Oryctolagus cuniculus: one gene and its partner. The protein of the gene in region 2 purifies or fractionates together with the protein of the main gene of each other region. This does not show direct contact. Links are inferred from orthologs where the notes say so. Each region holds a gene or a part of one and is shown on either strand. Other genes may lie near its edges. The genes, in order: DDX23 and SNRNP40.

Region 1 (3,911 bases), on a different chromosome or scaffold from region 2:
CACCCAGGCAGGGGATCAGGGTGGAGTTCCTGGCTCCTAGCTTCAGCCTGGCCCAGACACAGCTGTTGTCACTACTTGGGGGGGAGTGAACCAGCAGATGAAAAATCTCTTTCTGCCTTAAGTCTTCCAAACAAAACAAAACACAAACAAAACCAAAGAAACCAGGGGAGGTGGGCATGTTGTGGCATAGCAGGTTAAGCCGCTGCTTGTAACACAGGCATCTCATATCAGGGTGCTGGTTCCAGTACCAGCTGCTCTGCTTCTCAGTCAGCTTCCTGATAAGGCTCCTCTTAGAAAGGGAGCAGAAGATGGCCCCAGTGCTCAGGACCATTTGGTAGATGGGTACCAACATCTGGAAGATCTGTCTCTGTAGCTCTCCCTCTCTGTCCCTCTACCTTTCAAGTAAATAAATCTTTAAAAAAATTTTTAAAAAAAGGCAATATAGTAGAGTGAATTTCAAATAGTTATGAACAAGGAGAATAAAATGGGGTGACATGAACAAGAGATGGATGGCTCAAGAAAGAATTTTTAGTTTATATTTAAACTGAGACTTCCATGATGGGAAAGACAGAACCAGATCTGTTCAGGGAGAATAATTCATTGGGTAGAAGAGACAGCAAGTACTAAAGTACTGAGGCAGGAGTTAGCTTAGATGTCTGCAACTAAAAATCAAACTGTAGGGCCAGCATTGTGGCACAGCGGACAAAGCAGCCTGTGATGTCGGCATTCCATGTGGGCACTGTTTCAAGTCCTGGCTGCTTCACTGCTAATGCACCTGGGAAAGCAGTAGAGGATGGCCCAAGTGCTTGGGCCCCTGCACCCACATGCGAGACCCAGAGGAAGCTCTGGGCTCCTGGCTTCAGCCTGACACAGGCTGGCCATTGTGGCCACTTCTGGAGTGAACCAGTGCGTGCAAGATTTCTCTCTCTGTCTCTCCTTCTCACTCTGTAACTCTGCCTTTCAAATAAATAAAAAATAAATTTCTTTAAAAAAGAAAATAGCTCCTAAATTTGTGGTCTGAACAGTCTGTTAGTTTGAGTTGCTGATAGAGAACCAACCAAAGACTGGGGAAGGAAGAGATTGAGGACGGAACCAAAAGTTCCTTTCGGCCAGGTTGCAGCTGAGACCTCTGTAATAAGACAGCCAAGAGGGGAGTCTCAGAAGGCATATGGAAATGCAAACCTGGAACTCAACAGAGGGTCTGGGGACAACCATGAGTCACAGGTACATAGCTTTTGAAGCCACAGAGCACTAAATGATATTACCCAGTTAGGAAGTAGAGTTAAAGAAAGAAAAAGAAGAGAACCCCATAGTAAGTTCTGGGACACTCTAAACACTTAAGGGTCAGGCACAGCAGCAGTAAGAAATATTGTAGAGACTGGCGCTGTGGCATAGTGGGTAAAGCCGCCGCCTGTAGTGCTGGCATCCCATATGGGTGCCGGTTCAAGTCCTGGGTACTCCACTTCTGATCCAGCTCTCTGCTGTGGCCTGAGAAAGCAGTACAAGATGGCCCAAGTCCTTGGGCCCCTGCATCTGCATGGGAGACCTGGAAGAATCTCCTGGCTTTGGATGGGAGCAGCTCCAGCTGTTGCAGCCAATTGGGGAGTGAACCAGAGGATGGAAGACCTCACTCTCTCTCTGCCTCTCTCTGTAACGCAAATAAATGAAATAAATCTTAAAAAAAAAAAAAAAAAAAAAAAAAAAAAGATTAGGGGGCAGAGAAGTGAGTACAGCATTTGGGGAAATAGAGATTATTTGTGACCTTGACAAGAGCTGTCTCAGTGGCACAGAGCAAACCAGAAACTCAAGTGGACTCCGGCCATGCCTCCCAGCAGCCTTCCTCTCCAATTTCCTGAACTTTTTAGTTCCTCCGTTCTTGTACGGCCGGGGCAGGTCTCCCCGCCCCCCCAACTCCCATTCTGTTAAGTATTTTCCAACCATCTACCGCATATAAGGCACAGCGCAGGACACTGTGCGAGTTACAACAGGAAGTCCCATCCCTAAGAAGCTTTACGACAATAGAGGGTCTGAGAACCCATCCTAGTACGGCAGGCTCGCATGAACTAGTAGGGGAGTTCGAAGAAGCACTTCTGCAAGGCTCCACTGAGAAAGTGGCCCTTGATCCCTTAGGGATGGGTAAGGAAAGAAACAACTCCCTAATTCCCGGCCTAATAATACCGACGGCACGGAGGCGGGAAAGTACGGGCTGCTTCTGGGAGAAAAATTCAAGTTCCAGTGTGACTGCGGCACCGGGCTACGAGAGGCAGGAAACAATCAGTCGTGCCGGCGGCCAAAGGTCTGAGCCCGGAACATCGTCCAGAACGTGGCCTGAGCCCCAGCAGCCAGCACTCCCCCTGGGGCCCGCGCCCCTGCGCTCCTGCCCGTCTGAGATTTCCCCCGGCTCGCGCCTCTTCCCCGAGGCGTTCTTCCGCGCCTCATCCCGGAGGCAGGGGCCACAGCCATGCCCCCGACACTTGCCTTCTCTACAACCTCGAGGGAACCATCTCCCCTGCCTAGAACTCACCACCCTGAGTCGGAACCGCCCAACGCGGCCTCAACGTCGCCGAACAGCCGCCATCTTTCCCGTTTCCTGGTCGCCGAGATGCACCCCCTTGCCGCGCGGCAAGCTGGGAAGGCGAGTTCGCGGCGCTGGGCAGCTTAAGCCGACAGTAAGGCCCTCAGAACTACCAATCCCAGGATGCACGGCGCCCGCGCCTGCCGAAGGCCGCAGGGACTGCTGGGCAATGTGGTTCGCCAAGCTTGGCGTGTGCGAGGGAAGTTAGCAGTGGGCCGGGTTCCTGCAGATCTTCCCGCGGTTCAGTCTTCCTGGAATCTGCAGGCCTTCCAAAAGCTACGGTAGCGACCGTCGTGGCCCGTGCCTTACACGGTATGAGTTTAAGGCTTTGCATTTCTATAGCATGGCTCTATGATGGGCTACTGCGAGCAACCACAAGTACCGTTTGTGGAAAAGCAAAAATCTCGTTAGATTGTTACCCATTTTATAAGATGAGAGTTGTACAATTCTTTATCGTGAGGAATTCCACCAGGCTTAGGACAGTGTAGCAACCTGCCCCACCAATCTCCCCTACTGTTAACACTTCATCCTCTGATCTGGGCTGTGGCACCTTCTTTCTCTTTCTTTCTTTTTTTTCTTTTCTCTCATTTTCTTTTCTTTTTTAGATTTATTTATTTTATTTGAAGAGCAGGGCTACAGAGAGAGGTCTTGAATCTGCTGGTTCACTCTCCAAATGGCCACAACAGCAGGAGCTGTGCCGATCCAAAGCCAGGAGCCAGGAGCTTCTGCTAGGTCTCCCATGCGGGCGCAGGGGCCCAAGGACTTAGCCCATTTTCTACTGCTTTCCCAGGCCATAGCAGAGAGCTGGATCGGAAGTGGAGCAGCCAGGACTCGAACCAGCGCCCATATGGGATGCCGGCACTGCTGGCGTTGGCTTTACCACTGCGCCACAGCATTGGCCCCATGCATCTTTTTTCTTCAGGTTCCAGTAGGGACCCCTGCAGTCTTTGGGCTACCTTTGTGTTGGTTTGTTTTTTTAAGGTTTTATTTATTTGAGAGGTAGAGTTACAGACAGAGAGAAGGAGAGATCGATTCTCCATCCACTGCTTCACTCCTAGGCCAATCTGAAGCCAGGAGCCAGGAGCTTCTTCCAGGTCTCCCAAGTGGAGACCATCCTCTGCTGCTTTCCCAGGTGCATCAGCAGGAGTTGGATTGGAAGTGGAGCAGCCAGGACTGGAATCAGTGCCCATGTGGGATGCCTGCACCGTAGGCAGAGGCTTAACCTACTACAGCACAGCACCGAACCCTATATGGGTCTCTTTCTTCTTCCTAGTGTCAGCCTCCCACTGAAGCTGTTTTATCACAAATCCTGTGCTCACTTTGCTCACTTTGTTTC
Region 2 (3,911 bases):
GCTCGTATATTTGTCTTTCCCCTCAGAGAAATGAAGCTTGATGAGTATAGGGATCCTGCCTATGTGTCTTGACACTGTTTTCTCAGTCTCTGGATCATTTAATGAATGACTAGACTGATCTTCCCAACAATCTGAGGGTACAGATTATTAGGCAAAGTCGTATTTATTTATTTATTTATTCTTACACATTGTGCAACCTACATCAGTGCTCACAGTCCACATACAAGGAAGCTGGGCAATGGTTCGAGGCTGCCATTTACTCTGGCATGGGTACACTATGAGAGGCCCACAGAGAAGGGCCCACCATAAATCCATTACCATGCTCCAAAGTAGTATTTATTTACCTTATTTTATTTGGAAGGCAGAAAGGTATATACACAGAGATGGGGGGGCAAAACTCCCATTCACAGGTTCATTTCCCATATGCCTGTAAGTTGGTAACTCAATCCAGGTCTCCCACATGTGTGGCAGGAGGCTGGATTGAAAACGTTGAGTACAGACACCCCTATGTGGGATGTGGGCATCCCAAGTGTCACAAAGCTGGCCACCTGTGTGTTTTTTAAATTTTTAATTTATTTGAGAAACAGAGCTCATTCTCTTCTGCTGGTTCACTCCCCAAAGGATTGCAACAGTTGGGGCAGGCCAGGCCAAAACCAGGAGCCTGGAACTCAAGTTAGGTCTCCCATGGGGGTTGCAGCGTCCCAACTATTGAGCCATCACTTGGTGCCTCCCAAGATGCGCATGAAGATGGTATTGTAGTGTCAAAATCAAAATGGAGTGAGATGGCTAAAAGCTAACTGCAGATCTCTTGCTTCTGTACATGTTAGCTTTGCCTGCTAACGGCTAAGGGTGTATCTTGTGAAACTATGTGGGCCCAAATTCCCAGGAACTAGGTTGACAGAAATGTGTCCTTCACTGTTATCTTACAACCACATCTTGGATTTGTTACCAGGTTTGTTATTGCTAACTGTTATCTTACAACCATATTCTGGTTTTCTTTTTATTGTTCACTGTATACCAGAGGTTCGGTTGGAAATTGTGAGCCCTAGTGGACAGAATACTATAAAAAGCTGTGTAACCACTGTTGGGGGCCGTACTCTGGTAAGGAGTGTCAGACCCAATAGGTTACCGGTCCCGATTGGTTACCTTGCCTCTCACTTTCAATAAAATTCCTGTGTGACTGTCACTGGCTTTTCTAATATTCTGTTTTAGCTGATGAGTGGATGCAACAGTATCAGGAATGCAACTCGGAGTCAAACCCAATGGAAGCAATGGATCCTAAGCAGCACTTTCATTCCTATGCCAAGTGCCAGCCCCTGGACTTTGGTTTTTACTCTGAATGAATTGGAAAGCCACTGGAAAGTTTTCGGCAGAGGGCAAAGTGATCTGACATTTAGAAGAACAACTCTGGCTGCTGGATTGTTAACAGACTGTCCCTAAGACGGCAGAAACAGGAAGCCCAATGAGGACCACACAACAGTCATGCCAGACCAGGAGACAGGGATGGAGGCCGTCAAAGTGGTAACAATACCGGATATATTTTGCGGCAGATGCCACAAGGATTTGGTTTAAGAGTTGAGAGGCCAATATCACGAGCAAAGCGGGAGAGGTGTGCTCCCTGTCTCTATCTTACAAGAAATGGAGTGAAGGGCATGGATTCCGAGTTCAACATCTAGATAAGAGTTTGTTTTCCCGTCTGCAAAATGGGGTAACAGTTCCTAACCCACAGGCAGTTACAAAGATTAACGGAGATTTCCTATACAAGGCATCGGTACAGGGATCCTTGAATGTTCGCTATCACCCAGCTGTTGTTAGTAACATTACCGCAGAGAAACAAGGGCTAAGTAGCTTGCCCAGTATCCCGATCCGAGTCAGCATCATCTACTTCCCGCCCTCATTCATTCGTCCACCCACTCTACCAACTTCTTCGTGGATGCAGGACGCCCAAGATGGGCCCGGTCTCAGCGGTGGGCCCAAGATTAACCCCAATTCCATCGCTCCCTCCCAGGGCAGACGAGACGAACAAACGGACCTCAAACGAGGAAACGTGTGGGGCACCCGCAGGGCTCCGGGCGCTCTTACAACGTTTAGCTCCCTGAACTCTACGTAGAGCCCCCTGTCCCCCCAGTGCCGGACCGCCCAGTGCAGCGCTCGGAGGGAGCAGGAAGATGAACTGCGGGCCCGACGCCGCGTGCCACCGCACTTACCGCTTGCAGCAAAGCTCCCGGCGTTGCTTGCTGCTGCCCTGTTCCGGGGCCCGATCCCGCCGCTCCCAGCAGCAACTCATGGCGCTGCCGCTTGACTGGGACCAGCGGCAACTCTGGGCCTTTTCGTTTCTGCTGTTCTATCATGGCGGCAGACGCTTTCCTCAGAGCCGCCACTGACCACACCGACAGCTCTAGGCGCCGTGCGATTGGTTCCGATTTTGTCCTTCCTCCAGGACTTCCTGTTTGAATGAACCAATCGGCTTCCAGCATTCCCCGCTGCAACGCCCTCTGAATAGTCTCTTGTTATTGGTCATAGCCTTCTGACGCCACGGGAGCGTGATCTCAGGATTGGTGGGTGGAGCTGGCGTCCCGCCTAGGCGCGCTGTGTCTTGTGGGTGGGAACTGGCTGACTGGGTTTGGCGTTTCGCGCGATGCCGCGGCTGGGAGACCTGAAGCTGACGCTAAGTGAGTATGAGGTAGCTGAGGGGTAGCTGATGGCTCTAAACTGGAGCCGACGCCACAGCCTTGCGGCCTGAGCCTGCCTTTCAGCCGAAGGTGTTGCTAGCAAAGGGCGGGGGGCGGGCCTCGAATTCTCAGCTTTGGTAAATATTCCCTTTACCGCGCAGAAGTGGAGCTTTGGAGTCCCTGACGGCAGGTCGCAGACGGCGCCGGATGCCTGGGACCCTGCACCGCTGCCTTGATCGGCAGGCGCCTGCTGCGGCCAGCCCTGGGTCAGGCGTTCTTAGGGGGGTAAGGCTCGTATCCCCGCCGCCGCCAGTGCCTGTGTGGCCGAGGAGGCTGACGTGTGTGTGTGCCTCTGATTCTGCAGTCTTTTACTAGGGCCTGCTCCATGCCCCGCGAGAGGCAGTGGCGACGGACATGTCCGGCTCCTTCTCCAGATCGTGGTCTTGTTGAAGAAATTTGACATATAATACCTGTGAACCTGGGCCTCGCGGTTGTCCGGCTTAGCATTCTCTCTGCCTAGCGTTGAACCTAACGCAGTCCCCGATCTCAGGGCTTCTCAGTGTGGTGGGGATAACAGATACCACACAACGACCTCCCTGATAAACGGAAGTGCTAGGGGAGAAGTCTGATGCTGCGAGTGCCTGAAATGAAAAGGCTTTTCTGAGCAAAACGTGCCTGTGCTGCTGTCTACAGGCAAGGAGTGTAGCTGGGTAGAGAGAGGAAGGCAGAGCACTTTATTTGGAGCAACAAGTGCAGAGGTTCTGTGTCGTTTGGAAGGAAAGTGACAAGGGCACAAAGAGCCAGTGTGCTGCTACGGAGGAAGTGAAGGGGAGTACGGTACAGGGTGAAGCTGGAGGCTGTAGAGGCTGTGCAGGAATCTGTCCTTGTTCCTTTCAGACGGGGCTGGGAAATCGCTGAGGATCCTTTCTGGGGAGCAGGGCCTGGCGGAGGAGTGGCAGAGGTGGCTTGATCCCTCAGGCTTCGTGGTGTGAGCAGATTGGGATGGGAGGGACCCTAGTGGATGCAGAAAGGTCACTTACGAGGATGTACAGAGATGCCGGTCAGAGATGTCGTCAAGGAGAACTGAGGGAGCCGGGCATCTGCGGAGAATTGGGCAGATTAATCTAGAGCTCGAGGTAGGGCTTGGTGGTGGGTTGAATTCAGGAAGGAGAAAGAAAGGAATCAGAGGGGAGTCCTAGGTTTCCGGCTTGTATATTTGAATACGAGAAGATGACTCGA

What was found.
Region 1: the proteins of SNRNP40 (region 2) and DDX23 purify together in Homo sapiens (affinity purification with mass spectrometry; 3 studies listed by BioGRID and IntAct, counting the BioPlex papers as one, with this or other methods). This does not show direct contact. The link is inferred for Oryctolagus cuniculus from reciprocal best matches to the Homo sapiens genes SNRNP40 and DDX23.

The regions. Positions count from the first base shown.
Region 1 is NC_091442.1:52,328,795-52,332,705, forward strand, and holds the start of DDX23 (probable ATP-dependent RNA helicase DDX23), read right to left. Parts: upstream 2,675-3,911; 5' UTR 2,525-2,674; intron 1-2,524. UniProt on the Homo sapiens protein: Involved in pre-mRNA splicing and its phosphorylated form (by SRPK2) is required for spliceosomal B complex formation.
Region 2 is NC_091438.1:141,074,582-141,078,492, reverse strand, and holds the start of SNRNP40 (U5 small nuclear ribonucleoprotein 40 kDa protein), read right to left. Parts: upstream 2,417-3,911; 5' UTR 2,352-2,416; coding exon 2,208-2,351; intron 324-2,207; exon of another isoform or gene 187-323; intron 1-186. UniProt on the Homo sapiens protein: Required for pre-mRNA splicing as component of the activated spliceosome. Component of the U5 small nuclear ribonucleoprotein (snRNP) complex and the U4/U6-U5 tri-snRNP complex, building blocks of the spliceosome.